2 linked regions of the Coturnix japonica genome follow. Each later gene encodes a partner of the first gene's protein in a complex. Links are inferred from orthologs where the notes say so. Each region holds a gene or a part of one and is shown in the gene's direction. Other genes may lie near its edges.

Region 1 (14,003 bases):
GTGTGTACACACACATTTTAATATATATATATACATACACACACAAATCAGATGCCTCAGATGCTCAGGTACTTTATACATACACAGATACATGCTCAAATTATGTGTGTCAGATGAGGGTTAAGAGCCAGAACACTGACTAGAAAGGACATCAGGAATTGCAGTCCTCCATACCAATGTTCTTTTCTCCGTTTGTCACACAGGCCCAAATCTTTCACGGATTCTGACTTCCAAATCAAACTTTTCAGTACGGACAAATAGTTGAACCGTTCACATGAAACACTGACAAAGGCAGCATTCAAGAACTATCTGTTCTCTTTTTTCACCACTTTGAAAAGGGGCAGCCAGCACTACACAAAGATGTGAAGCCTATAGCTTTAATGACACCATGACATTTATTTTTTCCAACCCGCCATTCATTTCTCATTCTCTTTTGTTGTGCTATCACTTTTATACAGTAAGGACATAGCTGCAGTTCCAAAAGGGGAGGGCTGTTTAAGCTCGCAGCCTCTTGTACTACAGCTATAAACCGACACAGAATACAACTCCTAGGGAAACACATTGCCAATACTTTAATTATATCTTTTTATGTGAATAGCGTAATTCTTTCCAAGGAACAAGATAAGGTTATAATTCTAAACGCCGCTTTGTCAAGCTGAGGGTAAGAAGGGAACAGAACTATTGATTGCTTGCCCAACCCGAACGTAAACCATTCTTGGGTTTGCAGCTCTGCATGGGACTCAAAAACAGCGGATGCCAGGGAGAAAATACTCATAAAATAGGAGAAAACAGGTAGCAGCTGGAGTATTTACCACATATTTGAGAAGGAATAGAGAAGGAAGATGTCTGTGACTTACAATACGGCCATCCCCGCTACCGATGTCAACTACCGTGCCTCTTCTGCCTTGTAACATCTTCAGGACATTCTCGATCTGAGCTGAAGTTGCAGGAACAAATGGCAGACACACTCTCCTCAGAGCTGGAGCCACAAAGGGGGTGACAACCGCATACAGTGCCACCAAGGTCCCACCAACACCACCCACCATCCACAGCCCCCAGCGCCTTCTTCTGGAACCATCCTCAGAGCCTGCTGGCAAGGGGCTTTGTACCATTGGGGCACTGGGCATCACACCTGAAGGCAGACATAACAACATAGCAAGATTTACTGACTGCTTCCTGAAGAACAGAAAAAGCAACATATCATTGAACCAAAAAGATATGAGACATTAGATGCGAGACACTAGGGGCACAATACATCTTTTAACTTTTCACAGAATCACAGAATGACCCGGGTTGGAAGGGACCTCAAGGATCATGTAGTTCCAACCCCCCTGCCTGGCAGGGCCACCAAACATACACATTTACTAGATCAGGTTGCCCAGGGCCCCGTCCAACCTGGTCTTGAACACCTCCAAGGACGGGGCATCCACAACCTCCCTGGGCAGCCTGTTCCAGGGCCTAACCACCCTCCTAGTGAAGAACTTCCCCCTAACATCCAACCTAAATCTTCCCTCTTTTAACTTCAAACCATTTCAAACCATGTCCCCCATTGTCAGCCCTTATGAAGAGTTTACTCCCCTCACTCTTCTTTTAGTTGATTCCTAGGCAACAAATTGGTTTTTTTTCAATCAACTGAGGTGCTAGTTTATCTTTCTGTGAAGAGAGGGAAGCGGGTGGTGCTTAAGCATAAGGAGACTGCAGAGCCTCCTTCTCTGGAGGTAGTCAATACCAGCCTGAGATGCTCTACCAGGCGATCCACGGAAGAGGGTCTGCTTTAGCAGGGGTCTGGACTACACAGCCGACTAAAGCCTGAAAAGCCAGAATCACAGAACTGTAGGGGTTGGAAGGGACCTCTAGAGATCATCAAGTCCAACCCCCCTGCCAAAGCAGGTTCCCTACACCACGTCACATAGGTAGGCGTCCAGGCGGGTCTTAAATATCTCCAGAGAAGGAACCCCCAAGAAGCCCCTAGGACCCCCCTACGCTACACTGATCAGGGCACCCCCCCCCCCCCCTGCAGCAGTACTTATGCAAGAGGACGATACCATCCCAACATGGCGGGGGGGAGAGAGCGCAGGGCCACCCTTCTGACTACGCTCCAGAAAGCGGCGAGAAGAGAGAAAGCACCTTTGTGAATCCGCGCTGTGTCTGCTCTCACTCCTTCGCTTCAGTCCACTGCGGTGCAGGCCGCTTAGCTCCCGTACTGTGTTAAAGGATATCCCCTTTCCGCCTCCCCCCCCCCCGCGCTGGTGGACAGGGCTCCGCTCCCACAGCCTCAGACGCTTCCAGAACGCTGTGACCCACACGCCATATTACTCCTCCTAGTTCTCTGCGCATGCGCTGGGAGCGCGCTGACATCACGGCGCGGCGGGCGCGGCGGGATCCGTTTAGTGCTCGGGGTGGGTGCTGCTGCAGCCATGTCGGCCATGGGGACGCTGGCGTTTGATGAGTATGGGCGGCCCTTCCTCATCCTCAAGGACCAGGAGCGCAAGACGCGCCTTATGGGACTCGAGGCTCTCAAGGTGAGCGAGTGAGCGAGCGGGAGGACGGGCACAGGATCTGCCTGTAGAGGGGGGGCCTTGCTGGGCCATGCTGCCATGCCGCCGTTAGGGGGGGGGGGCCGCTAGGCCGTGTATGGCCGATTGCTTGCTTGGTCTACAGCCACACGCTGCTCTCCCTAGTGAGCTTACAGCCTGTAAGTTACATTAGTGCTATAGTTCAGGAGTGCGATTTACCTTTTATCTCCGTTGTTTTGCAGTCTCACATCCTGGCAGCAAAGGCTGTGGCGAGTACTCTGAGAACATCCCTTGGGCCCAACGGTAACAATGAAATTACTGTACTCTTTTTTTTCCTGCACCTTGTTTTCTGTGGGTTTTTAGCTTTTTCACTCACTTTCTTGATTTTTTATTTTATTTTATTTTTTTTTTTGTCAGGCTTGGATAAGATGATGGTGGACAAAGATGGTGAGGTGACAGTGACAAATGATGGAGCCACCATCCTGAACATGATGGATGTGGATCACCAGATAGCCAAACTTATGGTGGAACTGGCCAAATCTCAGGATGATGAGATTGGGGATGGAACCACTGGAGTCGTGGGTAAGAGCAGATTGTGCTTAATCAAAGAACCGCAGAATGGCTTGGGTTGGAAGGGACCTTAAGGGTCATGAAGCTCCAGCCCCCATGCAGCGGGCAGGTCTGCCAGCTTACAAATCTCATTCAAGACCAGGCTGCCCAGGGCCCCATCCAACCTGGCCTTGAAAACCTCCAGGGATGGGGCATCCACAGTGACTCTGGGCAGCCTGTGCCAGCACCTCACTACTCTCATAGTAGAGAACTTCCCCCCTGATAGCCAACCTAAATCTTCCCTTAATGTGGGCTTTCCAGTTATAAAAGCATACTTTCAAATGTATTTTAAGAGGAAAAGTAGTTTTCCCATAGTGTATTTACTGCTTTGGTATTTTTCGTTTCTTATTTGTAGCATTTTAATTAGAAATATGTTTTTGTAATTTTTTACTGTGGTTGTGTTTGAAGTTAGCATTGAAAGCATTTGACTAAACTTATTTTTGTTACTTTTTACCATAGTGATCGCTATTGGCTTCTGTGTTTCTCTGGTCTAAATAATGCAGTTTTCTTAGTGAATATGGGGTTGATGGTACCATTCTTATTGCCTGATAAATCTCAAACAGTTAAAATACAATAGAAAAATCTGAAGGCATACTTATTAAACTCTTGATGGTGTATGAGATATCATGCCCCCATCTCTGCAAGAGTAAATGTGTGTTTGTTTGTGAATTCTTTACAGTTCTGGCTGGAGCATTATTGGAACAGGCTGAACAATTGCTAGATCGTGGTATTCACCCTATCAGAATAGCTGATGGTTATGAGCAGGCAGCCCGCATTGCTGTTGAGCATCTAGACAAAATCAGCGACAGCTTTCCAGTTGATCCACAGAACATTGAACCTCTGATCCAAACAGCAAAGACCACGCTTGGCTCTAAAGTGTAAGTTTATAAAAGCTTAATGAAAGTGTGTATATTTTCCATGAGTACTCTTTGGTTGAAAAAAAGAAGTGTTTTGATGGATGATTACATTGTTTTTTGTTATTGGAGAAGCTGCTGAAGGCTTTATTATATTTGACTGGCTTATTTCTCAAAAAATTCATATTTCAGGATAAGAAATTGTGAAGCCCTTATTCTCAAAGGGGCAGTTTTGTGAAATCAAACAGCTACAAAATCATTTTCATTCTACCCATTCTGTTTTGTATTACTGTATCTTGGCACTTAGAAACTTTGAGTTCTAACATTCAGTTATTTTTAGAAAGGGTTTTTTTGTGGGTTTTTTTTTTTTCTGAACAGACTCATAGGACAGTTCTGGATTCACAATTGCAGTTTTCATTACTGGTTCTATAGATTTATATATATACAGATGTTAAGGATGGAGATGCTTTTGTTTTATACAATATTCTTTCTACGCAGTCTCATTTCTCAGTTGTCTGTGACTCTTTAGGGACTAAATTTTTAAGATACCATTGTGGGATCTGTATGTAAAAGTATAGGAAAGACTTGAGAAGACAGCAAAATACAGAGGGAGCTGTCTGCCATTTTTAATTACTCCTGGACAGTAGATTTTATGAAGTGCAGTATCAGTTCTCCCCGCTTGTTTCATATTGATGCCTTGAGACTATGTTCACAAAGGATACATAGACAAACTGATATTTTTTTTCTGTCATAGTTAGCATGTTCATATTCCTGTGCATCAATGAGCTGGATGCCTTTTCTTCATGCAGCAAACAAAACACATTTGCTATAGTAATACATATCCTTTCTCTGTTCAAAATTGATAGAACCTGTTTCTTCTGAATGTGCAAATATAATACAACTGTATTTTCTTTAAATTTAGAGTCAACCGTTGTCACAGACAAATGGCAGAAATTGCTGTGAATGCTGTACTGACAGTAGCTGATATGGAGCGTAAAGATGTTGATTTTGAGCTGATCAAAGTACAAGGCAAAGTGGGAGGCAGACTGGAAGATACGCAGCTGGTAAAGGGAGTGATCGTGGATAAAGATTTCAGTCATCCCCAGATGCCTAAGGTGAGTGAATCCCCTCTCTGCATCTCATCTGTAACAGTTTAAATAACATTTAACAAGTAGTATATAGGTTACACTGTGAAAAGGAAGGTTAGAGGAGAGTATCATACACATTCAGAAGTGTCAGTGAAAGCGAGTGGGTTGTATTTGTAATGTCCACTGTGGATAGGAAGCTTTCTTCTTTTTAAACATCTAATATTTAAAATAAATGACTGAAGGCTGATGGGTGCTTAAACATTTGTGTCCTGAAGCTATGGAATTTCTCTTATGTGAAACTTCAGATGAAACTGAGTATAACCGGCTTCACTTTAGAATCACTTAAATGATCATCAAGGATCCTACAGCCCCTACTTATTTAAAGATAACATTTGTGCATTGTGCAAATACAAATAGGAGGTGTGACTGTCATCAAACTGCAACTTTTTATTATTGTACAGGAACTTAAAGATGCCAAAATTGCAATCCTGACTTGCCCGTTCGAACCACCGAAGCCTAAAACCAAGCATAAGCTTGATGTCACATCTGTAGACGATTACAAGGCACTGCAGAAATATGAAAAAGAGAAGTTTGAAGAGATGGTGAAGCAGGTAGAGTCTTCAGAATTATGTTTCTATTTGTATTTTTTACATAGCCTTTACACTAAACAGAATCACAGAATTATCAAGGTTGGAAAAGACCTAGAAGATCATCTAGTCCAACCATTACCAATACTTCCCAGCTAAATCATATTCCTCAACACAACATCCAAATGTTTCTTGAACACTCCCATGGTCGGTGACTCCACCACCTCCCTGGGCAGTGCATTGAAATTTGCTTTCATTTCTTTCTATGCCTTCATGTACAGATATACTTGTCTTCTGCAGACTTCTGCTTTGAAAAGAGTAGAACTAAAACAACAAAGGAATGTGTTTGTGAAATTCCTCGTTTCTGTGTTAGTGCTGATGGTTATCACTGCGTGCTGCTTTCAGATTAAAGACACTGGTGCAAACCTTGCTATTTGCCAGTGGGGCTTTGATGATGAAGCAAATCACTTGCTGCTTCAGAATGAGCTGCCTGCTGTTCGTTGGGTTGGTGGACCCGAAATAGAAGTAAGTACAATCTTCCCAAACTGGGATTTTTACCAGATCTCAAATCTTTGTTGAGTGATCTGCTGCACAAATTAAAAGTTTGTGCTTTCTGAGTAGAATTACATTATTATTATGTAGTATTGGCACGTACTGAAGCAAAATCACTGGGGATCTGTCTGTGGAAAGAAGCTGGAGTTAATGGGATTGTGGTGTGTATTGCAGTCCATGCGTATTGCTCCTTACAGGTTGTATGCGGGTAGGAGCGATTTTACTTTGTGTCTTGTTTTAGAATCAAGGCATTGCCTGATGGGAAGGTAACTTTGTTGGAGATATTTGACTATAGCTTTACTTTATTAAAATAATTATAGAAAAGTCTTCTCAAAATAATGGAGTTTCTTAATTCTAGTTAATCGCCATTGCAACCGGAGGACGCATCGTTCCTCGTTTCTGTGAACTCACACCTGAGAAACTGGGTTTTGCTGGTGTTGTCAGAGAGATCTCCTTTGGCACAACAAAGGACAGAATGCTTGTCATTGAACAGTGCCAGAATTCCAGAGCTGTGACCATTTTCATCAGAGGAGGAAATAAAATGGTAAGACCTTTGTTTTCTGTCCTGGTTTTGGCTGGGATGGTGAATTTTCCTCCTAGTAGCTGGTATGGTGATAGTTTTTGGATGTTGGGAAATAATTTGTATAACACACCAATGTTCTCCTTGTTGCTGGGTGGTTCTGAACAGAACCAAGGACTTCCCTGCTTTTCACACTGCCCTGCCAGCGAGGGGCTGAAGCAGCACAAGGAGTTGGGAAGTGACAGAACCAGGACAGCTGACCCAAACTGTCTAAAGGGATGTCGTATACTGAATGGCATCGTGTGGAACTGAAAGCTGGGGAGGATCAGGGACTGGCTGGGCTTTGGTCAGTGTGTAGGGAGCAGTTACTTTGTGAACTAGTTCTGTTTACTCTTTTTGTTATTGCTTTTTATTGTTTCCCCTTCTTTCTTTCCTTACTAAACGTAGCCGTTTGCACACTGAAGAACTTGATAGTTGGGTGCCCTGCTGGATAAAGTCACAGCTCGTAGTTAGTAATGTTTTATACGTACATTGTTGAATATGTAGTCTCTTTCATTTTAGAAGCCTATTAACTCTTCCATTAATTTTATCTAAGCTTTATCTGCAGTGTGGAGTAATTTAGGGGTTTTGTAGGCAACGGTGTTTGTGTTCAAGTCACTTGTTGAGTCACATCCATGTTTTTGGGTGAAAATTTTGTTTTCTTATTGGACCGTATAGTTAATAGACAGAGAAATAATTTTTGGTCTCTCATTTCCTTTATGGGAGAGTCACTTTCATGGGTGAATATGTATTTTTGCAAGACTATATTTTAATATATACTTATGTCACTTGTTCTGGTTCAAAACGTTTTAAAATGGTCTGAGTTGTGCCTATTTTTTATGCTTCTCTGCTTAATTTGGTTCATGGCTGAATTGTTAGTGTGAAATGATTTATATTGTATATTATTATAGGTTATGTCCTGTTTTGAGTCAAAAAGTTGGGAAGAAATAAACTGCTGGAAGAGGTTTTTAAAGAAAACAATGCTTCTTTAAAGGCTAATATTAACTTGTTAAATCCTTTAACATCTATTGCACTCTGGATAGTTGACACTAAATGCAAGGAGAAAAAAATGTTGGTGTTTAAATTTGTGGCTTTTGTCTTGGAAACGTGTATAAGACTGAAAAAAGTGGTGTAAGTTTTCATAGTTTGAATTTATAGGTACAACAAATAGCACTGAAATGTGTATATTTTGCATTCCTTCTCTGCCACTAGGTATTGTAGCATTTCACTTTTTGAAATAGTATAATGTAGCATTAGTAGAGCTATAAAGAGATCCTGTCATAGAATCACAGAATGGCCTGGGTTGAAAAGGACCACAAAGATCATCCAGTTTCAACCCCCTGCTATGTGCAGGGTCACCAACCACCAGACCAGGCTGCCCAGAGCCACATCCAGCCTGGCCTTGAATGCCTCCAGGGATGGGGCATCCACAACCTCCTTGAGCAACCTGTTCCAGTGTGTCAGCACCCTCTGTGTGGAAAAACTTCCTCCTAATATCTAAACTAAACCTCCCCTGTCTCAGTTTAAGACCATTCCCCTTTGTCCTATCACTGTCCATCCCTGTTAACAGCCATTCCTCCTCCTGTTTATATGTACACTTCAAGTAATGGAAGGTCAATCATTTACTTGCATTCTTTTATTTTCTCGCATTAGGAAATGCATCTCCATATTCTCCAGTTGTGTGCAGTATGAAGTATGTGCTATTGTATCGTTTCAGATTATTGAAGAAGCAAAGCGGTCTCTTCACGATGCTCTGTGTGTGATCCGGAATCTGGTTCGCGATAACCGCATTGTGTACGGTGGTGGTGCAGCTGAAATTTCATGTGCCTTGGCAGTCAGTGAAGCAGCAGATAAGGTAGGGAAGGAGCCTTTGTAGAGGTATTGCAGGTCCTTTTTGGATAAGAGCAATATAAAATGGTTTTTATTTGCAGGCAGTTAGGCAGAATACTCTGTCAGTTACTAGGGTGAATATTGCCAAGAAAACTGCATGAGTATTTTAGTGCAAAAGTGCACTTTTGCTCACTGCAGAAATAAAAGCTGTATCACTTTTTACTTCCTAGTGCCCATCTTTGGAACAGTATGCTATGAGGGCGTTTGCAGATGCCCTGGAGGTAATCCCTATGGCCCTTTCGGAGAACAGTGGAATGAATCCAATTCAGACAATGACTGAAGTACGGGCTAGGCAAGTGAAGGAAAACAATCCTGCTCTTGGCATCGACTGTTTGCAGAAAGGAACAAATGGTAAGAAGTATACCGTGAAGAATAGGGAACATAACAGGGTTTCCTTCCTTAGAAATCTGAAAGCTTTCATTTTATCAGCAGTCTTATTTTTCTTTTTATTTTTCAATATGTCTGTCAGAATTACAAAGTCTTTTACCTTACCTTGTAAATTGGAGTGGGGGTAGAGAGATAAATGATGTACAACAGGAAGAAGATCTGTAACTGCTGGATTCAAATTCTTATTCTGCCATTTATTTGAAATGAATGAAAAAAAGAAATCTTGAAACATCAGGTGTTGTGCTTACATAAATACATAACAGTTCATTGATATTTCTGTATCATGGATCTTCAACTTTGAGCTGAATGCTCTACTCTTAGGATGCTTCTGATATCTGTACACAGAAATGCAGGAAGGTGAAGTAACAACTGAGGAAGACTTAGTTGTGAGAAGAGAGTTTGGTGTTAAGGTTCTGAGATCTTTGTTAAGAGCCCAGGCTAAAAGCTATAGTTTATACTAATTAATGATGATTGTGAATAGAAATAATTCTATTACGTTCAAAATTAACGTAGAAAATAACTGTCTCAGGTAAATAGTACATTTGGGTTTGAGGAAGGTCTCTAATGCTTTCGTATCTTCTTTTTTAACAGATATGAAACAGCAACATGTTATAGAAACCTTGATTGGTAAGAAACAACAGATTTCTCTGGCAACTCAGGTCGTTAGAATGATTCTGAAGATCGATGATATCCGTAGGCCTGGAGAATCTGAAGACTAAAGGTTGAAAAACATGGAAAGTTAACGGGGCCACAACAGTAGCGAAGACGGTAGTATTCTGATGCTTCATCTTCAGCTATTTATTTTGGACACTGTTTCAGATACTGTAATGGCTAATGGTTGGAAATAAAATGCAATTTAGCACCGATGGTTTCAAGCCTCGTTTCAGAATTGTCATTGTGTCTTGTCATGGACAGTTGTAAATAGTCTTAGGAAAAACATTCTGAATGTGTAGCGGGGGGAGAGTAATGGATAATGCTAATGGTTTCATAGTAATGGGGATAGGAGAATGGTTGGACTAGATGGTCTTGTAGGTCCTTTCCAACCTTGTGATTCTGTGCATTAATAGTATCTCACACATCCATTGTTCCTGCAGCTAATTTCTTTTAACTGCTTGTGAGCAAAGCCCACAGTTTTCCATTTTAAGTGTGTCACTCTTTAGTGCATGAAACTGAAAATAGTTGTAGCCCCCAAGAATTCTTACATGCTGAACACGTTGATTGTGTAGTTTACATTTGGAGATTTAAGGTACCATACAACATGTTTCAAGTTGCTTGAAAGTTGCACAAATCTTTGACTTGTGATGCTGAATAGAAGCTGCTTAAACAGAATCACAGAATTGTAGGGGTTGGAAGGGACCTCTAGAAATCATCGAGTCCAACCCCGCTGCCAAAGCAGGCTCCCTACACCATGTCACACAGGTAGGCGTCCAGGTGGGTCTTGAATATCTCCAGAGAAGGAGACTCCACCACCTCCCTGGGCAGCCTGTTCCAGTGAACAGGCTTGAGGCATTCAGCAAACAGCCGCGAAGCATTCCCAGATCTTGACAGCCTTGGGTTTATTCAGTGTTAGAGCCATTTGAACTGTGGCATGAATGAACACCGCATTATGAAATATGAGCTAAATGAACAGCTCTATACTATATATGAAATAACATGCCACAGGGCATTACAGTGCCATGCTGGAAGGGTTTAGGAAGACGATAATCTCACTTGATCCTTGCAGAATCTTTGAACAGCTTATCTGGGTAGTTTCTTTGGCATATTAACACAATAAAAGCTTCACCTATTAGCTGTTTCAGTTACATGTTTGTTTTTCAGCATGGTTTAGAAGACATGGTTAGTTTTAAACGTAGGATGTCCAGGAGGAAGAGCAAAGTTGGACACCCAGCTCAATTTGTAATTGAACATTCTGGCTCCTTGATAGATGTGAAGAACAGAGGGCTCTGTGCAGCAGCACTGCCACTGGAATGGAGAAGGCTGTGACGGTGCTCTGCTCTATGTATGTTGCATTGGTTCACAGTAACTTGCAGCTTGCAGGCAGTAACGTAGACCAGGTTATTCCCAATTCCAGGAAGACTTGCAGCCCAGCAGGCTGGGAGGCTCTGGGGGTGTGAAAGTTGAAACTTGATCAGATTTGGAGGTTTGCTTTTGGGGTGGGGGAGTTCTACTGCAGTCCAGAAGCCTCTGGAACAGGGAAAAGGTGATCCCTTTGCTCATTCATCTGCCTTAAGGAAATGAAAGTCTATGTATGTATGTAAATATTATCTAATCTCAAATGAGACTTTCATGTGGAATATTAGAAGACTGGTAGTGGAACACTGGCAAAACTCTGAAAATGAGGGTTTTTCCTGAGGCTTTTACTAATGGTTTTCAAAATAAGATGTAGCATTATCACCTGAGTTATTTAATGCGTACGTTTAGTTGATGTTTAGGTTTTGCATAGGTAATTGGAGGACAGCGATGTGCAACTGAAGAGCATTAAACCATATTATTGAAGCCAGTGCAGTTCAAGGTTGTATGCTTTCAAGACTGGAATAATTGTGCCTTCTGTTTTGTTTAACCGCAAAACCACTGTTACGATTTGGGGCTGAATCTGAACTGTGAGAGGTGAACACTGATACTGAAATGGAGTGTTTCACTGGCCTTCAAATTCTTCAATCAACCTGGCAAAATGCAGGGCTTGCCACTGGAGGGCAATGTAAGAATATTAGTGCCAGAAGGGGACTGCAGCTGGACTGAACGGTAAGCTGAAGCCAGGCAGCTTTCTTCAGCACCATCAGCATTGCGCACATTTATCACCATCGCAATCTGAATCTTTTCAGAAGCTTGGTACCTTGAACTGATTGCATAAATATTCCCTCTTAAATCCAGTGTTTGATGTCATCTTAGAACCCGCACCCTGACGATTCACTGTGCAGCTAAACTCATGGAAAAGCCATTTGGCATCAGAACTCAGACCCAATTCTAAGCCTCTCTTGCTGTGTTCCTGGGCCTAGTTCCTTTCCTCCTTCCCTCTCCTGTCTCTGCACTGACACGATGCTCATCTTTGCGGGTGCTTGGGGGAGGTTCCTAGAGAACAGCGTGCAGATTCCTCCCCATCCCTTTGGTCACACCCAGCTTATGGCAGCCAGCAGCTGCTGGGTGCAGTTTGTGCAGGGCTGGGATCCTGGCTTTGGGTGCGCAGTGGTTTCTCAGCGGTGTTGGGTCTGGGTGGGTTTTTCCAGGAGGAAGATACTTGCCACTTGTTGCATCGGCAGCAGCAAGTCCCTTCCACAGTTCAGATGGACAGAGAACAACCTACCCTGAGCCATTTTACCGTAGAGAACGAGCTGGGAGAACTTCCATCTTCCATCGTAACCATGCCAAACAGCATTAAAAATTGCTATTATGTGGGCTGTGGCTGTTACAGCTCCTGAACTCATACCATCATCCCATGAGGGATGATTCAGTAGGGAGGAACTAGCCCCGTTTGTCCTCTCTGCGTAGAAGTACCTCTCCATTTCACATCTTGGAGGGCTTCCCAGAAGCTCTCTGCCAGGGAACATTTCTCACCATGTTAAAGAGCCAATTAAATGGACTGACAGCGTTTGCTTTGTAAACAAGTCCTCGCTGTGATACAACAGAGACAGTCTGCTAAACTCAGATGATGGGAGGGTAACGCTTTAGCATGTTCTCTGCAAGTCACTGAACCTGTTGTACATGTGCTAGAATCTGCATCTTTATGGTATTTCTCCCCAGGCTATTTAGGATCAGTTTCTGTGCTACAGTGAGGTTCCTGGTGTTCAGTACTGAACAGCAGCAGCACAAGCACTGAAAGGATCAGGTCCCTGGCAGTCACCTGGCATCTGACTGCTCCCTTAGTACGGAACACCACAGCCAGGACTCTGACAGCACTCTCCTTGCCTCCCCTCCCAGGAGTTCAGATACTTGTGTGGGTGGCACGGCTGTGTCATCTGCAATTAGACTGCTATCAAAATCATGGAGTGGGAGATGCCTCTCCCTTTCCCTCAGTAGATGTATTTAAGCTCAGGCCCTGTCCCTTCCTCCTCACCTAAGTTACCTTTTATCTGTCTGTGCCTTGACCCCAGTGCTGCTTTGACTTAGTGACTTGCTCTTGCCCTGCTGTGATGAGCTTGCCTGGTGATCTGGGCTCTTGGCTGACCCTGGCCATTGACACTAGAGGCCTTGGTTTTCCTGCTTGTCCCCCTTGCCTATGAGCTGTCCCCACCTGCCCTGCTGTCACCCTCAGTCCTTGACCCAACTTTTACCTGTCAGACATTTGTATGCTCTTTTTCTGAGGTGGGCAATTGAGGGGCCCAAAGGGAGAAACTAAGGAGGAGACAAGAAATAGAACAAACAGGCTGCTCATGGAGATGGTGGAGTCACCATCCCTGCAGGTGCTCAGGAACCAAGGTGGATGTGGTACTGAGGGATGTGGGTTAGTGGGTACAGTGGGAATGGGCTGATGGTTGGACTGGTTGATCTTTCTTAGAGGTGAACTCGAACCTCAGTGATTCCATGAGAACCAAAGCAGACAGAGATGAATGAGCATGTATAATAAAATTCATTTATGTGGTTTAATAGTATCGTAAACCAAAAAAATAAATGCATATGAAATATTTAAATGTTTGACTGGGATTTAGATCTCTGATACGGCACAGTGCCTTTTTACACCATGCAAAGAAAACTGTTGGTTTCTGTGTAATTCATACATAACCAAGTTGGATCCTCAAAAACATTTGTTTCTTCCTCCGGAGCTGGAGGGTGGTTCCCCTGCTGGCACAAACAGGGCCCATGTACACAGGGACTATCCAGTGTCACTTCAGCTGCTCCAGCCTGAGGGCATCAGGGCCACAGATTGTCTCAGTTTCAAGAAGCTGCCTTGATTTATGTGCCTTATGTCACCTAGTTCTCAGTGTATCGTAAAAAACCCATCCAACATGAAAATTGCTGAGTTCCCA
Region 2 (15,420 bases), on another chromosome or scaffold:
TGGAGAGCGAAGAGCAAGAGAACCAGGATTTCTTCATCAGCCTAATACTTAAGCACAAACAAAACACCCCAGAAGAGTGGCAGACCTTCCAAATTTATTTCTGTAGCATAATGCATGCATTCAGACATTAAAAGGATGACACTGTGTCACACAAACAGCTGTAGTACAACCATTCTGCCCACTGAACACGCATTTCATCCTTGGCTCCAAAAACAGCTTAGATCACCTAGCTGCTCACAAAGTCAGCTCCTTTACCTTAGTCCTTGTTTACTTTATATCACACAACATACTTGCGGGTTCTTGTAAGCTGTAAATACTAAGGCACTTCCAGTTGAACATCTTCAATTTGAAAAGATCATTGAACACACAGTTTCACATTTCCATCTGCACTTGAATTTGGTAGCTTTCCCTTTGCAAATAAAGCCAAACCAAACAGCGTTACCTTCAAGCAACAAGCTCTCTACTGTCTCTATTTACACTTGCTTTGCAAAGAAGTCACATCAACATGCTCAGGCAAATGTCCAGAAATACGCTACGTGCGCTTACAGGTGTTTTAGCAGATAGCCAAAGAACTCTGGGTAAGTTACAGAAATCTAATGCATTAAACTCAATTCTGCAAACAAGAAGGAAGCCAGTTTTTACAGAATTTAAAACCCACCCTCTGTCAAGACACCAGCTAGATCTAGTTCTTTCACAGATAGTTCACTGGCTTGAAGCAATATCGTTCTGCACACCGCCATCTCTCAGCACTTCTGAACCATCTGAGACAGTCACTTTAACATCATATGAGACTCTATTGTTTGTAAGAGCTCTGAAATGCATCTCCTCTCGCTCCAAAGTCTGACAATGATACGGATCAAAGATGGCAACAAGAACACTGACTGATTCAAGCTTGATAAAATAATTCTCTTACCCAAACATTTTCTTTCAGTTATCCCTCTGGAAGGTGACACTTCTAACAGTTACACGGTTGGATGTAAATTCATTGCAAGTACAAAGTCCTGCCAGCCAGTGACCACTGACAGAACTACAGCTTGATTAATAGCTAATCTTGGTATATAAGGAGCTCAGAAAGAAAAGTAGAAATTCCTTTCCCGATTACAAGGATATATCTCTATTTCAAATTATTATACATTACTGTACAAAGATGCCACATGATAGTGTTAGTCATTAGGGTGGAATAAGGTGGATAGCTCTGCTGCATTGGAAAAGGAAATACACATCCTTTGACAACTACTTCACAGAGTGTTTGTAAACTATGAATCTAATTTGTGTTTGGAGTCAAGTTGATGAAGAAAAATCAAACTGAACACACAGGCTCCGTGTCTCAATTAAGCACAGCACTAACACTTGTCACAGCATGAGGATAAGACACTTACAAATCCAACATCCAAAGCAGAGGGAACAAATCTCACATCTTCATCTGCTGTGACCCCACAGATGCCAAACAGCACAAACACATAAATTAGAAAACGACCTAAGACAGGATCTAGTACATAGCTACGGTGAATACTCACCTCCAGCAACATAATCTAAATGGAGAGATCACAACTAATAGAATTCTAGTTCATTAGTACTTTCCACACAACTGACTACCTGAGCAGTTTAAGTATGTTCATACAGGGACCCTCTTCCAGCTGAAGAATTGACTACTTCATGCACAGGACTCACGCTGCGCTTTGCCCACTTAAAGAGTTGCTCTGATCCAAGTGTTCCAGTCAAAATGTAACTGAGAGATCACAGACTATGAATTCCCATTCGGACTCCGCCTGTTTAGAAGACGTAATACAACTGATACAATATGATATTTTGAATCAACTTTCCCTTCTACAGGTTTAAACTTAAGTCAGTTACTCTGTTACCCCTTTGTATTCTAGGTTTTAAACAAGGATGGCACAAACTTCTGAAAAGAGCTTGTAGTCTTTGGAACAGAAAATTGCTTGTTCTGACATGCAAGCTGTTCTCTCCCTAAGCTCTCACAGAGTACTTTCCTGCACTTATAAAATCCTTTGCCATGTAAGCAAAAATCTAGAGTTACTTGCCATTTAAGAGAGAGAAAAGAAAACAAAACAAAAAACACTGCTTAGATCATTCTAGAAGGCCTCAAACAAGACTACACTGACTGCAAAAGGTCACTAGGGGCACAGAACATGAGATTATTTGAACCAAGTCAGGGTCAAAGCATAAAGCAGAGCACTGGCATACCAGAACGGATTACCCACCTAGGTAGCTAATAGTAAAACAGCGAGCTTATGCCTGCATTGATCAACAGCAATCCAAAGCACAGAATCACAGACAGAGCATGCCTAAATTGATTGCAACCACATGAATTTCTGACACCAACTCCCGGCACCATGCAGGACCCAAATTCAAATGCTGTATCTGAAAGCACTGACAAAACACTCCCCGAGCTCTGGCCGTGCTCGCTGCCCTGTGCAGCCCATTCCACGCCCTCTAAGGCAGAGCCTTTCCCGAACCTCCCCTGGCACAGCTCCATGCCGTTCCCTGTCACACAGAGCAGAGCTCAGCGCTGCCCTCCGCTCCCTATGAGGAGCTGCAGCCGCCATGAGGCTCCCCCCAGCTCCTCTGCCCTGGCCCAGCACATACCTTGTCCTCCAGACCCTTCCCTCCTTTGGAGCCTTTCTTTCAGCGATCTCTATCAGTTAAGAGTTCTTCTTACACTGTGGCAGCCAATCTATAGCTTCATGCTATAGGAGATTGTCCAGCTCTGATTTGTCAAGATCTCTCACAAGGCCTTCTCTCCCCCCGAGGGCAGAGATTGACTGTAGAGTGGTACATGCTATTAGATCATTAGTATTGCCTTCCTTGTTACCAGAACAAGCAGAGAATACAAAGAAAATAAATCACCCTCAGATACACCCTAGAAGACCTACTTTTTAAAACCAGGAAGCTATTTCTAACTTGTAAACAACCCCTCCTACCCTTTCCTCTGAAAAAAACTGTTTTCAAAAACATCTTCCAGAGCTTTTTTTCAGTTATGGCTCCACGAGACCATTTTTACACTGTCACTGATTCGAATTACAGTTATCATTTTAAATAGACAGTAATGCCTTTGTGTGAACAGCCTTTAAGTAAGGATTTAATAATTTCAGGTCCACAACTTACAGAGAAGACTGCAAGAAATTACAATAGGAACAAAATACAAGGGAAGGTGGATAGCAGTTCCTGTTAGAAAGCAGAACTTCTCTCATAACAGTTTATCAAAATATTCATGCTATTACCAACTGTGAAATACAGAACAAGCTGATGACAAAAAGCTTATGACATGGAGACTGAGTAGTGTTAGGAGTGCTTAATGCCCTGAAGTCACTAAAGTTTGTGTAAGCAATATGAAGCCACACGCTAATGGAATTAAAAACAAGTAAGATGGTGCCTACTGTGGCATTACAGTTCTTTTGCCACCAGCACCAGCAAAACAGCTCGGGCTGTCAATGACAATGTTAGATGTGACAGCCTGCCAGGCTGCTCCAGAAACCTGGCTTGTTGTCTCCGAACTAAACATTTTTGTCTTTCAAATAACAAGTGCTGAGCACTGCAAGATACTGTTAGAACAATGGAGGTGGAGCTCTTCACATGTCTTTGATAATTTGATTGTTGAGATATTAGCTAGCCACCAACTAACAAAGAAATTAATAAATCTCACAGCTGAACAACAGGTCAACATATTAAAATAATCTGAAAATATAAGCTTATTAAAGAGGAAATAACATTTACTTATCATCCATTCATATATCTAACATTTAATACTTCCTCGCTTTCTGCATGATGTTCCAGGTAACTTTTAGTTTCCATTTTCCTTGTGTTAAATCTCTTTTCCTAGAAGAAGTGACTTCAGCCCTGATTCCTGTGCTCCATACTGCATGAGCAGGAGAGAAAAAAAAAATAAAGCAGGCCGGATCCAGCAATGAGAAGAAAAATGTGCAATCACTTTCAGTTTTGCTTCTGAGACCAAATCCATGAGTTAGTAACAATGAAGTTTAAAGATTATATTTTCTCTTCCCCTATTCTTAGGATCAATATCTTGTCTAAAAGGCTTAAGTCACTCATTTGCAGTGGTGCTCCAAAGCATCTCTGGCACTTACAAATTACAAGTCAGTGTTTATTGAAAAAAATCTGAAGTCATCCAGCAACACCAGCACTGCCATACTGCAGGAAACAAACACTCCCCTTACAATATAACATAACACATGGCCTGGCACACATCAGCCCACTACCACACATATCTTCCTCAGATGGCACAGAGCTATGTGCATAGCTCTGTTCTGAACAGAGAAAAAAAAATACATCAAAAAATAAAATACTGCTGCAACTCGGAGAAGTCAAGACCAGTTGTAAGGAAGTAAGTAGTTATGGGAGTGCCTGCACTAGTGAAGTTCCACACTCCAGACACGACCAGGCAAGGCAGATGAGGCAGGTAGCTAACTGCAGAACCACCTCAGTTTCTTTCCCAATCTTGACCACAAATTGGAGCAGATTCCTTCCCAACAAACTCCCACAAAAACCCATTCACCCAGTAACAAGTTTTGAGATGCCGATGCCTTCTATCAGTCACACAGAGGCTGAAGTCCGAAGAAAGAGATGTCCGTAATTTGGCAATGCTTGTCATCTATGAATATCCACATCTGACACAACTGTATTTTTATCAAAACTCAAACAACAGCTACATCTGTCGTCAAGCAAAGTGCCAGAGTCCACCTGCTTATCACTGCATATGAGGCAATATTTTTCTGTGTGTTTTTTTTTTTCTTGGTCTTGTCTAGCAACTAAAGTGATATGGAGAACAAAAACTCTTTACCAAGCAATTACTCACTTCCAACTATTGTCATTTCTATTACTTACAAGGAAACACTCCTAACTCGCCTTTTAAAATCAGAGACTTTGCTCTATGAAAAATCAGAAAGACAACCCTCAAGTTACAGTAAATATCTTAATCACAGAATTAACCATTTTTCTCTGAGTGACTGTGAGCTAACAGCACACAAGGCATTATCAGGAAGTTAAGGACTACAGAGGTGAAGTATTCTTACCCTATGGCGTACATCCACAGTACGTCTGCATCTCAAATGCAGAAGATGTGGCCCTCTTTTCAACTTAGAAGAGGAACAGCTAACTGGAAATGATCCAGAAATAGGTAATGAGCATGAAGTGAGATACGGAAGGCTACCACCCATACAGTAAACAAGACTTCAGCTTGTCAGCCTGCAAGGACTAGAGGGAATACAGCAGTTATTTAACATCAAACGGATGACTGAGCGCTACTCATCTCACAACGTAGGCACCACAAATAAACAGACTGACCCGAAGGACAGCTCGACAAGATCCACACGCAGCTCTTAGCCCATCCAAACCAGAAGATGCCGATTTCCACATAAGATGTGGTTACTGCAGTAAGGAAGCTCTTTGGTGGGCACTCACCCCGTACCCGAATCCCAGCAGCTCTGAGGGCGCAGTTTCACCGCGGGGCAGCACCGGGCAGACACCGGAACTACGGGGCAGCACGGAGCGGAGGCAGGACCAGGCCTGACCCCGCAGCGCCGGGAGCCGCCCTCCGCCTGCATCGCGGTCACGGAGCGAGCGGGCCCCGCTGCTGAATCACGGCGGGACAGCGAGAACGGGCGGGGAGCCCGGGGAGGGGCCGCACCCTCAGCCCCTCAGCACGAGGAAGGGAACCGGAGCCTGCCGGCCTAGCTTGGTGAAACGCCTCCGCTGCCCCCCTCCTTCACCTCCCCCCCCGCCAGGCCCGCTCGTTACCTGCCGGCCCCTGGCTGGTAACTGTCCCCGCAGCCCCTGCCCACCGCCCGGCCCTACGCCAGCCGCAACAAGCCGCCCTCTCCGGCCCGGCCGCCGGGCGCCGCCATCTTGCGTACCTGCCCTCCGCCTCGCCGCCCCGGGGACGTGATGACGTCACGACGCAGCGTCACCTGCAGGCCCCGCGGTGACGTCATGGCGGGGCGGGTGTTGGTGTGCGGCGCCCGTCAGTGCAAGGGTGACCCTGCTCCACACGGCTCAGAGATAAAGAAATAACGAGATAAAGAAATAACGAGCCAGTCTGTAACAGATCTCTGGAGGTGCCCCTTTAGACAGACCATTCACTTCACAACCCCCTTTTTTTTTTTTTTTAAAACCCCTTTTTTTTTAATGTTCTCAGCAGCATTACTGTCCCTGTGCATTAAGCCACTCGCAGCAGCCTGGAGGTGCCTGTGTCAGCATTCCCACCTGTACAGCTGTGTGTCCCTTGGGGTAACCTGTACATGCAGCACATTGCTTTTTTGCTCTGAATTACAGTGAAAATACAAGCGTGCACAGAGGGCATGAGCGCAGTGGATGTTTTAACACAGGCTGCGTTACAAAGTGTTCAATGAAGAGCGATGGGGCAGAAATTGAGGAAATATCATGAGCGTCCATCAGGACAGTCGTTGTGGAAGCCGGGCTGGGGCGGCGCAGCCTGCACCACTCCCTGCCGCCACCAGGGGGCGCTGCCCGGCCCGCAGCGCGTTGCCTGGCAACCGCAGTGGAGGCGGCGCCCGCTGCCGTCCGTGCGCTGGGACGCGGAGCTGCCGTAAAGCTGCGACTGCCGTAAAACGGGGAAATGTCGTGAAGGGCGGTCCGGAGGGGCCTGCGGCGGAGTGAGCGGCCGGGCTCGGCTGCCGGCGCTTCATGCTACGTGTCGTGGCGGCTGCCTGCTCCGTCTGCTCCATGTGGGGTCCGAACCGGGCTCTCGGCTTCACTTCTTCACTTTCTTTCTACTATGGCCAGGAAAACAGTTAGCAGGAAGCGGAAAGCGGCGTCGGCGTCCGCCGCGGGGCCCGGGGGGCTCTATGGGGAGCAGGTAGGCCTGGGGGGTGTATGGGGAGCCGGGGGGCTCTATGGGGGCAGGTAGGCCCGGGGGGCTCTGTGGGGAACAGGTAGGCCCGGGGGCTCTGTGGGGAGCCGGGGGGCTCTATGGGGAGCAGGTAGGCCCGGGGGGTGTATGGGGAGCAGGGGGGGCTCTGGGGAGCAGGGGGGCTCTATGGGGGCAGGTAGGCCCGGGGGGCTCTGTGGGGAACAGGTAGGCCCGGGGGCTCTGTGGGGAGCAGGGGGGCTCTATGGGGAGCAGGTAGGCCCGGGGGCCGGTGTGACTGAGCGCGGTGAGTCCGGCACCGGCTGCGGGCGGGGGTCGGTGTGAGCGGCCGTTGTGGAGCCCGGGTTAAAGAGGGGAAGTGGGGCTCGGGGATGTCGGTGTGCCGCTGATTGATAGGGGGTGATTGAGGGCAGCTGGCGGTAACGGGCCGGGGGGCGTCGCCCTCCCGCTGCTGTCAGGTTCCCTTCGAATCCCCGCTGTCCCGCTGGGTTCAGCCGTTGTTTTGCCCGTAACGGCCGCGTCCCGGGCAGGGCTCCTTGGCCATGCAGCGGATGGAGCCCGGTGTCGGCCGCAAGAGAGCTGTGGATGCCGCGGTCGGTACCGAGCGGCCCCCGCCCCGTGTGGTTGTACTTCGCTGGGGTGGAGTCTGGGGCTGCTCTCAGCTGCTTAAAATGCTTATTTTTCAGGTTTCTTGTGTCTCCTTTATCACTTCAGCAGTGCTAAACTGTCTGTGGCACCACTGCGATACCACTTATTTAGCAAAATGTGTTTAATTCTGCGATGTAAAGGCTGTACTAGCACTTCTGTGTTGATCTTGTATGATTTCTTATGGATAGTTTAGAAGACTTAAGCGATCTGAATTGGAAGACTGCTGGTTTGGTTTTTTTTTTGGTTTTCTATATTATTTCCATGTTTGTTTTCCACAGTATGGATGGGATCATTCAGTGCACAAAAGGAAGCGGCTTCCCCCAGTGAAGCAGTCCCTGGTGTATTACCTAAAAGGGAGGGAGATCTGGATGCAGAATGAGTCCAGCTACCACCGCCTGTTGCACGGACATGCAGCCCAGCAGCTTCCCAGCCTCCTGAAGGAGAGGGAGTTTCATCTTGGAACCCTCAATAAAGTGTTTGCCTCCCAGTGGTTGAACCACCGGCAAGTAGTTTGTGGGACAAAATGCAACACAGTAAGTACCTCTTCTCTTGCTTCTTTCCTCTGTTCTGTAATTCCCTTTCCTCATGCTGGTGCCTTTTGTAATCTTATGTAGGCTATCAAGGAGAATATTAGGAAGTAACTAGAACCAGAGTCAAAATTGTATCTAATAAAACACGAATATGTGTAAGGTTTGACTGTGGCCCATTTTCATCTGAAAACATGGCTCTGTGCATGTGGATGTGAACCAGACTGAGACCTGTACCTGTACACAGGCTCTGCAGAATGGAACAGTGTGGTTGACTCTTTCTTGTTGTGCTGAAGATGATGGGGGGAGGAAGGATTGGTTAATGATTGTACCTCTGATTTCTAAATAATGTGATGTCTAGCAGAATATGCTGGTAAGACTCTGTTTTTTTGTCATCTTCAGCGTGTTTTGGGTTTTTTTTTTGTGTTGTTCTGTTGATGACTGAGAAATTACTACAGAACTAAAAGCTCCTGTTAAACTCTCGGTATTCTTCAGAGTAAATGTTCTAAGATTTAAAAAAGAATTTCACGTATTCAAGATTATCCTTTGTTTGTTTACTTTATGATTTTTTTCCAATCTAAATCTCTTTAGTTTGTGTATGTTCATGTACTTCCATGTACTTTAGCAAACACTGAAAACTCCTCAGGCTCTTAAAGTGATGATTTGGGTTTTAAACATTATACGGGAATGTTAAAATGGGATATTACTTATTTAATAAATGGAGGCGATCGTACATATTAACTAATATCTTCACCTGGGATTAGTTAGTGGCCTGACCTTAACAGCTAATGGGAAGCCCTGATTGAGTTAGTGTAAAATCCAGAATTTGTTCTTTTCAGGTTGTTTAGTGCTACTGAAACAAATCAAATTTTGTAAGGAATGTATAAACAGTTTGTAATCTTCCAAGTATATGGAAGATTATGAACTGTTGTGATCGTTTCTTTGCTTTAATTACTTGTAGAAGTTGCGCACTGTGGTCTGACTTGCAAAGGACAGTGATATTTTTTTCATTTCAAATTTTCTGTAATTATTCATAGTTGCACAGGAGGAGACTTCTATGCAGTAGCTCTTAAGAATCAAGGCCTAGCTGTATAAACAAAACAGTGTTGTAATAGGAATAATCCTGGAGCAGAATCTTTTTGCTTTCTTTCTCCATGCGTGCTCACTGCCTCAGCTGATCAGCTGCCAGCCCTTCATGGAACAGAGTTTTAGCCCTTCCTGCTAAAACTCCAGCCTCAAAATCTTGCTTATTCTAGCAAGATCATTGCAGGTTTTATCGTCTGCAACAGTTTTGCTGTGTTCTGTAACTTCTGTAGTTCTATTGCCTCTGCAGCAAAGATAAATGGACAAATGCATTGTTAATGCAAGCTTGCAGAAAATGGTTTGTGAGCAAACAATCAGAGAACTGAAGAGGGATTCAGCCTTACTGTTGTTCCTACTGCATATGCTGCAATGAGGTATATGCTTCCACAGCTGAACTTGGAGTACTGATGGACATTGTCCTGATGACAGAAGTCAGCTTTGTCATTATGGAAGATTATATATGAATTATGAATACTTAGTCTGGTTGCTTTGTGCTCACATTTTAGCAACTAGAGTGTTAAACAACACTTTAATTATAAGATTTTCTTTCTCATCTCCTGAGTAAGCAACATTATAAAGATGAGTTCTTTTGGTTATTCTCATGCACTGAACTTGGGAGTAAATTTGTAACGACTTCTTTAACTTCAGTGGGGTTTGTTACACTGGCATGGCTTGTAATTAAAGCTAATGCAACAAAAAAAATTAAACCAAACCAGTTACTTGAATCAAAGCTTGAATATGACACTGGGAGCCTTTTTGCAGTTAATTTATAAATTACCTTTGGCTATGCGGTGCCAGAGGCATTCACCAATTTAATAACAAAACAAAAACACGCTCTTGTCATAAGACAGGCTTTACTTTTAATCATTTGACAGTACTGGTCAGTCTAAGTGCTGAAGAGACTGTAGAGCTCACAGTTGTTCTTTTTTAATAGAAATTATAACTAGTTTTATTATTTCAGGTAACTTCTTATACTTAGGATTATCACTGAAGTGTTTGTGTGTGTAAAAAAACTTTACTGACTTCCATTGAATCCTTGAATGCTTGTATATGGTCAGTCAATTGCATGTCAAATTAAGTGTTTTGGTTTATGAAAGGTGCATACTTTCTTTCCCAGATACTTTATTATGGAAGCTATCCAAGCATTCAAATGTCAAAGTCAGATGCAATCACCTGGGACTTTCTGAAGTGGGATTCGTGTTTGCGAGGATCTTCTTGGTCTTGTATAAAATGGGCTTCTTAAAGTTGTTGAAAAACAAATGAGGAAACAGACAAACCTCTGAGACATGCAGGTGTTTATAGTGTGTCATTGTGGCATCTCAATTACCAAAGGCTGGTACCAGGAAGTCTCAGAAGATTCTGTCTGTAATTAGTGTGTTGTGCTCAGGCTTTTCAGAAACTGAAGAGATGGTGGAGGAAACAAGCTTGTGACAGAAGAGAGCTCTAAATGCTGAGTTACTGAACTGTTTCTTCCCTTTATACTATCCATTACCATTTCCTGAAATTAAGCATTTTCTTGTGTCTTCTGATCCTTAGCTCTATGTATCATAATTCTTTTGCTAATTATGAAGTGTGTAAAAACACTAGAGCTTTAAATTCATTCCCTAAATACGGAAAGCTACTTAAACAAAAACCTGAACTACCCAAATTCCTTGTTTGCTCTCATCTGATTTCTCAGGTGGCTTTTCTGTGGTTCAAATGGTTTCCAGTTCAGTGACACTTTTTCTCCTTGGTAGATTCACACACTGATTTGGGTGCCCTAGTGTAAATGACCAGCTCTTGTTTCTGCTTAAGGATTTTTTGTTTGTTCAGCGCACCTCATATAATTGTAGTCTTCTAGTCCTGGTGTCTGTAGTCCTGAACTACTCAATTCATGGTTCTTATATCTGTGAATATGGAGGGTCTAGGAGGAAACGCTTTCTACTTGCTTTGCAAGTGAATGTATCCCCTGGTTTTGGCCATGCTGTCAGGAATCAAATAGACTGCTTGTTTCTTGCTCCCAGGAGGGAAGAAGTCATGTTCTCACAGTTTATAACTCTGCTTGAGCACTGTACTTTGCTCACTGTAAATAGACCTCCGACACCAGTAAATAGCACCTTAATTCACCTTTGTTTCAGTGTTTTGTGAGGGCACAGTGAGATGCTGTTTCTCATCTCTAGGGAGTGTTAGGTTTTCTCTCTGCGTGTGATGCCCATGTCTGTTTCCAGAATTTGTTAGCTTCTTTGCCAGGTATGGTGTGGGTGGCAGAGATGCCCTGTAGCAAGTGAAGTCTCTCGCTTCCCCATCCTCTGCCATCTGTCAGCGTGCACTAACTGTCTGCCAGCCTCCTGAAATTAAACACGGAGGGCAAGACGCAAATAAAAACCGACAAATGTGACTTTGGCACTGAACATATTTAGTGGCATCAAAGTGCATGCCCAGGAACTGTGAGGGCTTAAGAGTTTCGTATCCAGGTGGAGTGCTTGCTTGCACTGCTCTGCCTCTGGAAATAGGAATTCAGTGTAAACTTGCTGACTTTTTTTTTTTTACTGCAGTTAACTCCTCATGATTGTTTTTTCTCACTCTGGATCCTTTTGAGGAACTTGTGTAAGATCATTACCCCGTGGTGCTGATTGTACTGCACAACCTGTAAGTATGTTCCATGTTAAGATTAGTGCATGTTCTGAGCTCAGCTGGAAAGGAATTCTACCAGTTTGAGTTCTTAGTCTTTGGAGGTTTGATGTTTCTTGAAGGCCTGGCATGATACATTAGTGAATCTGTATTGCCATAGGAATGAAAAGCTTTATGTGAAGCATTTTGTGATCTTAAAGAACAGAAATGCTTACAGTCCAAACAGAAAACAATACTGAGAAATGGGGTGGGGAACTGTGTGCTTGTCAGAGTAACCAGCAGTGGTGTTAGTGTATCCACTCTAAGCATTGTCTTGTTTCTGTTGTTTTGTTAGTGAAATAAAATTCAGAGATGATGATGTCATTTTTCAGCTTGGCTGAGAGTGAAATTGTTGTGATCAGGTTCAGCTGGTTGCTAGCCATGCCTCGCAGAACAGGATGTTCCCACCTGCTCATTCCTGCTGGCACTGATGTTCACATGGCTGAGGAGTCAGCTGGGTCAGCTTGCTGCTTTGTATTGAGACAAAGATTAGTTTCTACCAAAGGCAGAGAGGTCTGAGTGACCTGGCAGCTACCTGAACACCAGTTGTTGTTGCAGAGGTGGTGAGACAGGGTGAGTATGTGAAGAAGGTACATGTGGATTCCCAAAGGTTGGCTTAAGCCAGTTGTGAAATTCTATCCCAGATTATTCTTTTAATAATTCTTTTTAGCGAGGCAGTGTGTTTATCTGGAGTTTTTTCAAATATTTTTACGAATGATAAAAGTGCATTATGCTCTGTGATTTCAGAGCAGCCTGTAAATAGCTGAAGCACAGTGTGTATCGTGTGTACTTTTTCTGTGAGGAATAAGTAGTCTCTTTCATGCGTGTTCTTTGTATCCTGTGAATCTGGGTCTGTCCTGTTTCTGAAATAACAGCATAATGTAGCTGTGGGTTACAAGCTTTGGTTTGTTCAAATTGGTTTGAACAGGCAACCTTAATTTTCAGCTGATTAAACTGGATGCTATTCTGTGCACAAATCTAGCAGCTGAAGATGCAGCATATTCTTCACATGATACCATGAAAATTGCATTTCTTTGGTCAGATTTTTTTTTATCTTGCTCTGCATACGAAGATGAGAATTTTCAAGGTTTCAGTGTTCTCACTAAAATAAATATGACCAGAATGCTTCTTGAAGTAATGGTTAGATCAGATGTAGCATTAAAATGGCATAGGCTGAAATATTACTTGCTGTATTTCTCTGTCAAATCCTTTCAGTGTGTATCTGAAATGTGTGTCTTTTCTTTCCCTTGTCCTCCTAAACTGTTGTCCCTTAAAGGCAAGTCAAAAAATGAAAGCAGACTTCTGACAAAGTGACACCCAGAGAATGGATTTTGCAGTTTAGAATGAGGTCTTCTGATATGTGATTCCCCATTAGAGGGAATTGGCTTTTGGCTTGTTGATCAATTAAGTTCTGTCATTAATGAAGTGAAACACTGTAAAAAGTAGGACAAGGGGCAGCCTCTTAGAAAATGTATAGAAGCTAATTGCTAGAAGAATTTCTAGCTATTCTGCAATACAAATTGAAATAATAGTAATAAAAAGGACACAATTAGTAATTTCATTGAGTGTGAAAATCATAACCAGATCGTAAAAACTTGTGTCTGAGACAAGTGTATTATATAGCTGTATCAGTCTGCCATGGTCCTTTTATTTTACTACATGCTGGAGTTGTAGCTGAAACTTTTTTATAAGCTGTCAGGTATTTTACGCTTTATTTACTGTAGTGTCTTGAAAACTCATAAAATAGTATGCAATTGTCAGCATTCTTAGCTGGATGCCTATCTTAGGCTGGTATAAAGCCCAAAAGGTAAAAATGCTAAGAACAGCTGTTTGGCTTCTGTGCGCTGTATTTACAGGGAAGATTTCTTGGCATTCTATGGCTCTGTTTGCAAGTGTGAGCTTCTGTCTTCCTGCGGTGTCCCAGATGATGCAAAAGTCATAATTTAAGCAGGTAGCATTTGTTTATTCTATTCCTGGATTGTGGTTTTAGTCTGTCTGCATTATGTTCTGTTTTTTACTATGTGCAGTAGTTGCTGCTTCAAACCATACAGCTGAACTTTCAAAGCCTGTCCCTTGACTTGAGTGTGAGGCTCTATGATACTTCAGTATTGTATGTTTCCAATTTCTTTGACTTTTTGATTAGTTTGGAGTTTAGCGTTATTAAAGTAATTTCACATTAGGGTAAGTATTTTTGTTTTTTATTAACTTAGTGTCAGGCACAGCGTGACAGTGGTGTGAGGCTGAAGAACATAGAAGATTTTAATTTCAGTCTGCTTATCTATTGAGGTGCCATTTGAACTGTGCATCTGTAACTGCTGGAAGATGATTTTTTTCTGAATCTATGGGCATCCTGAAATGCAGATGTGTTTTCCTAATGAGCAGTTCTGGTAGCAGCTTTAGGACCTGCTGATGACACCAGGAACTGTTGAAGGAGGGCATGGGAAAGCACTGAGATCTTCAGTTGAAAGAAAATATTGAAGGAAGAAAGAAGATGAGAGGAGAAGAAATTAATGCCTGCACTGCAGGAACAGGGCAACTAATTTTCAGGGATGAAGTTAGGGCTGCTGCATATGTTGAGTGTTCATCAGTTGGTTTGGGCACACAACTGCACTTGGGGGAGATAGAAGTGCTGTTCTCTTCCTCTTCCTGCTCATCTGCTCTTCAGCTGTTCCCTCACCCTCTGCATCTGCATCAAAATAAAGAACTGAAGGTGAAAATTCAGCATCTGTAGGAGCTGTGATCTCTGTGCAAGACTGCTGTCTGCAAAGGAGAGTGAGTTGTGGGTTGAAGTTGGTGCAAGTCTACATACAGTGCACAAACAGTCATATGTAGATGGAAGCGTTTTCTACAGAATGAGTAATGTACGATACTTGAACAGATTTTTATTTGACATTGTTATTCTCAGCTCAGTACATAAAAAAGTAATAGATATGCCACTAAGTTTTATTTAATTTCTGGTGCTTGTTAGAGAACAGATCTACATTCCTGAGTTCACCAAAAAAAGAACTTATACATATAAACTGCTCTCCTGGGGGTGGTGTATATAAGGGAACTAAATTCTGCTTGGATCCTGATCTGCAATTATACATGGCTTTTCTTGGAGCCAGGTTTGCTCTATGATATTCCGTTTCCTTTTTTGTCATCTTTAGCTATTTCCAAGTGTTGGTAGGATCCCCTCTCAGTCCCCTCTTCTCCAGGCTGAACAGTCCCAGCTCTTTCTGCTGTTCCTCATACAGAAGGCCTACAGCCATCTCTGTGGCCCTTTGCTGGATTCTGTGCAGCAGTTCCCTGTGTTTCTTGAACTGGGAAGCCCAGAACTGGGCACAGTACTCCAGATGTCACCTCACTAATGACAGAGATTCTGTTGACACAAAACACTCTTGACAGAAGTTGCCTACTGTCATTAGCTAAGCATTTATAAACTGCTCATTTGGCACATTTTTCTCCTGGAAGCTGAAGGCTGTTGGCCTGTGCTATGTGTTCTTTTCAGTTAAATCAATTTGTCTGTTAGTGCAGCTGCACTCTGGACACTTGTGAAATGATCCAGTGCAAATGAAGTTAGACTTTGTTGGACAATGTAAGCCATGCTTTGCTGTAATTGTAGTTTAAACTATAGTTTACCATTGGAATAAGTAAACTTTACTGTAGTTG

Evidence for each region.
Region 2: the proteins of CCT5 (region 1) and DCAF12 are in contact, whole or in part, in a cryo-EM structure (PDB 8AJM), measured with the Homo sapiens proteins. The link is inferred for Coturnix japonica from reciprocal best matches to the Homo sapiens genes CCT5 and DCAF12. Residues at the interface, in NP_036205.1 of Homo sapiens: Gly537, Glu538, Ser539, Glu540, Glu541; in NP_056212.1 of Homo sapiens: Lys91, Phe93, Lys108, His144, Trp186, Phe188, Arg203, Lys254, Arg256, Glu298, Val300, Arg344, Phe411, Tyr422, Leu440, Pro441, Ser442, Gly443.

What each region holds. Positions count from the first base shown.
Region 1 is NC_029517.1:52,183,172-52,197,174, forward strand, and holds CCT5 (T-complex protein 1 subunit epsilon), read left to right. Parts: upstream 1-2,349; 5' UTR 2,350-2,417; coding exon 2,418-2,522; intron 2,523-2,758; coding exon 2,759-2,819; intron 2,820-2,933; coding exon 2,934-3,098; intron 3,099-3,804; coding exon 3,805-4,003; intron 4,004-4,901; coding exon 4,902-5,094; intron 5,095-5,528; coding exon 5,529-5,678; intron 5,679-6,059; coding exon 6,060-6,179; intron 6,180-6,564; coding exon 6,565-6,750; intron 6,751-8,482; coding exon 8,483-8,620; intron 8,621-8,825; coding exon 8,826-9,006; intron 9,007-9,633; coding exon 9,634-9,761; 3' UTR 9,762-9,917; downstream 9,918-14,003. Other genes in the region: ATPSCKMT (ATP synthase subunit C lysine N-methyltransferase), read right to left, coding at 858-1,132, 1,396-1,426. UniProt on the Homo sapiens protein: Component of the chaperonin-containing T-complex (TRiC), a molecular chaperone complex that assists the folding of actin, tubulin and other proteins upon ATP hydrolysis.
Region 2 is NC_029547.1:6,946,998-6,962,417, reverse strand, and holds the start of DCAF12 (DDB1- and CUL4-associated factor 12), read left to right. Parts: upstream 1-6,584; 5' UTR 6,585-6,769; coding exon 6,770-6,850; intron 6,851-7,349; exon of another isoform or gene 7,350-7,404; coding exon of another isoform or gene 7,405-7,455; intron 7,456-7,788; coding exon 7,789-8,043; intron 8,044-15,420. UniProt on the Homo sapiens protein: Substrate-recognition component of a DCX (DDB1-CUL4-X-box) E3 ubiquitin-protein ligase complex of the DesCEND (destruction via C-end degrons) pathway, which recognizes a C-degron located at the extreme C terminus of target proteins, leading to their ubiquitination and degradation.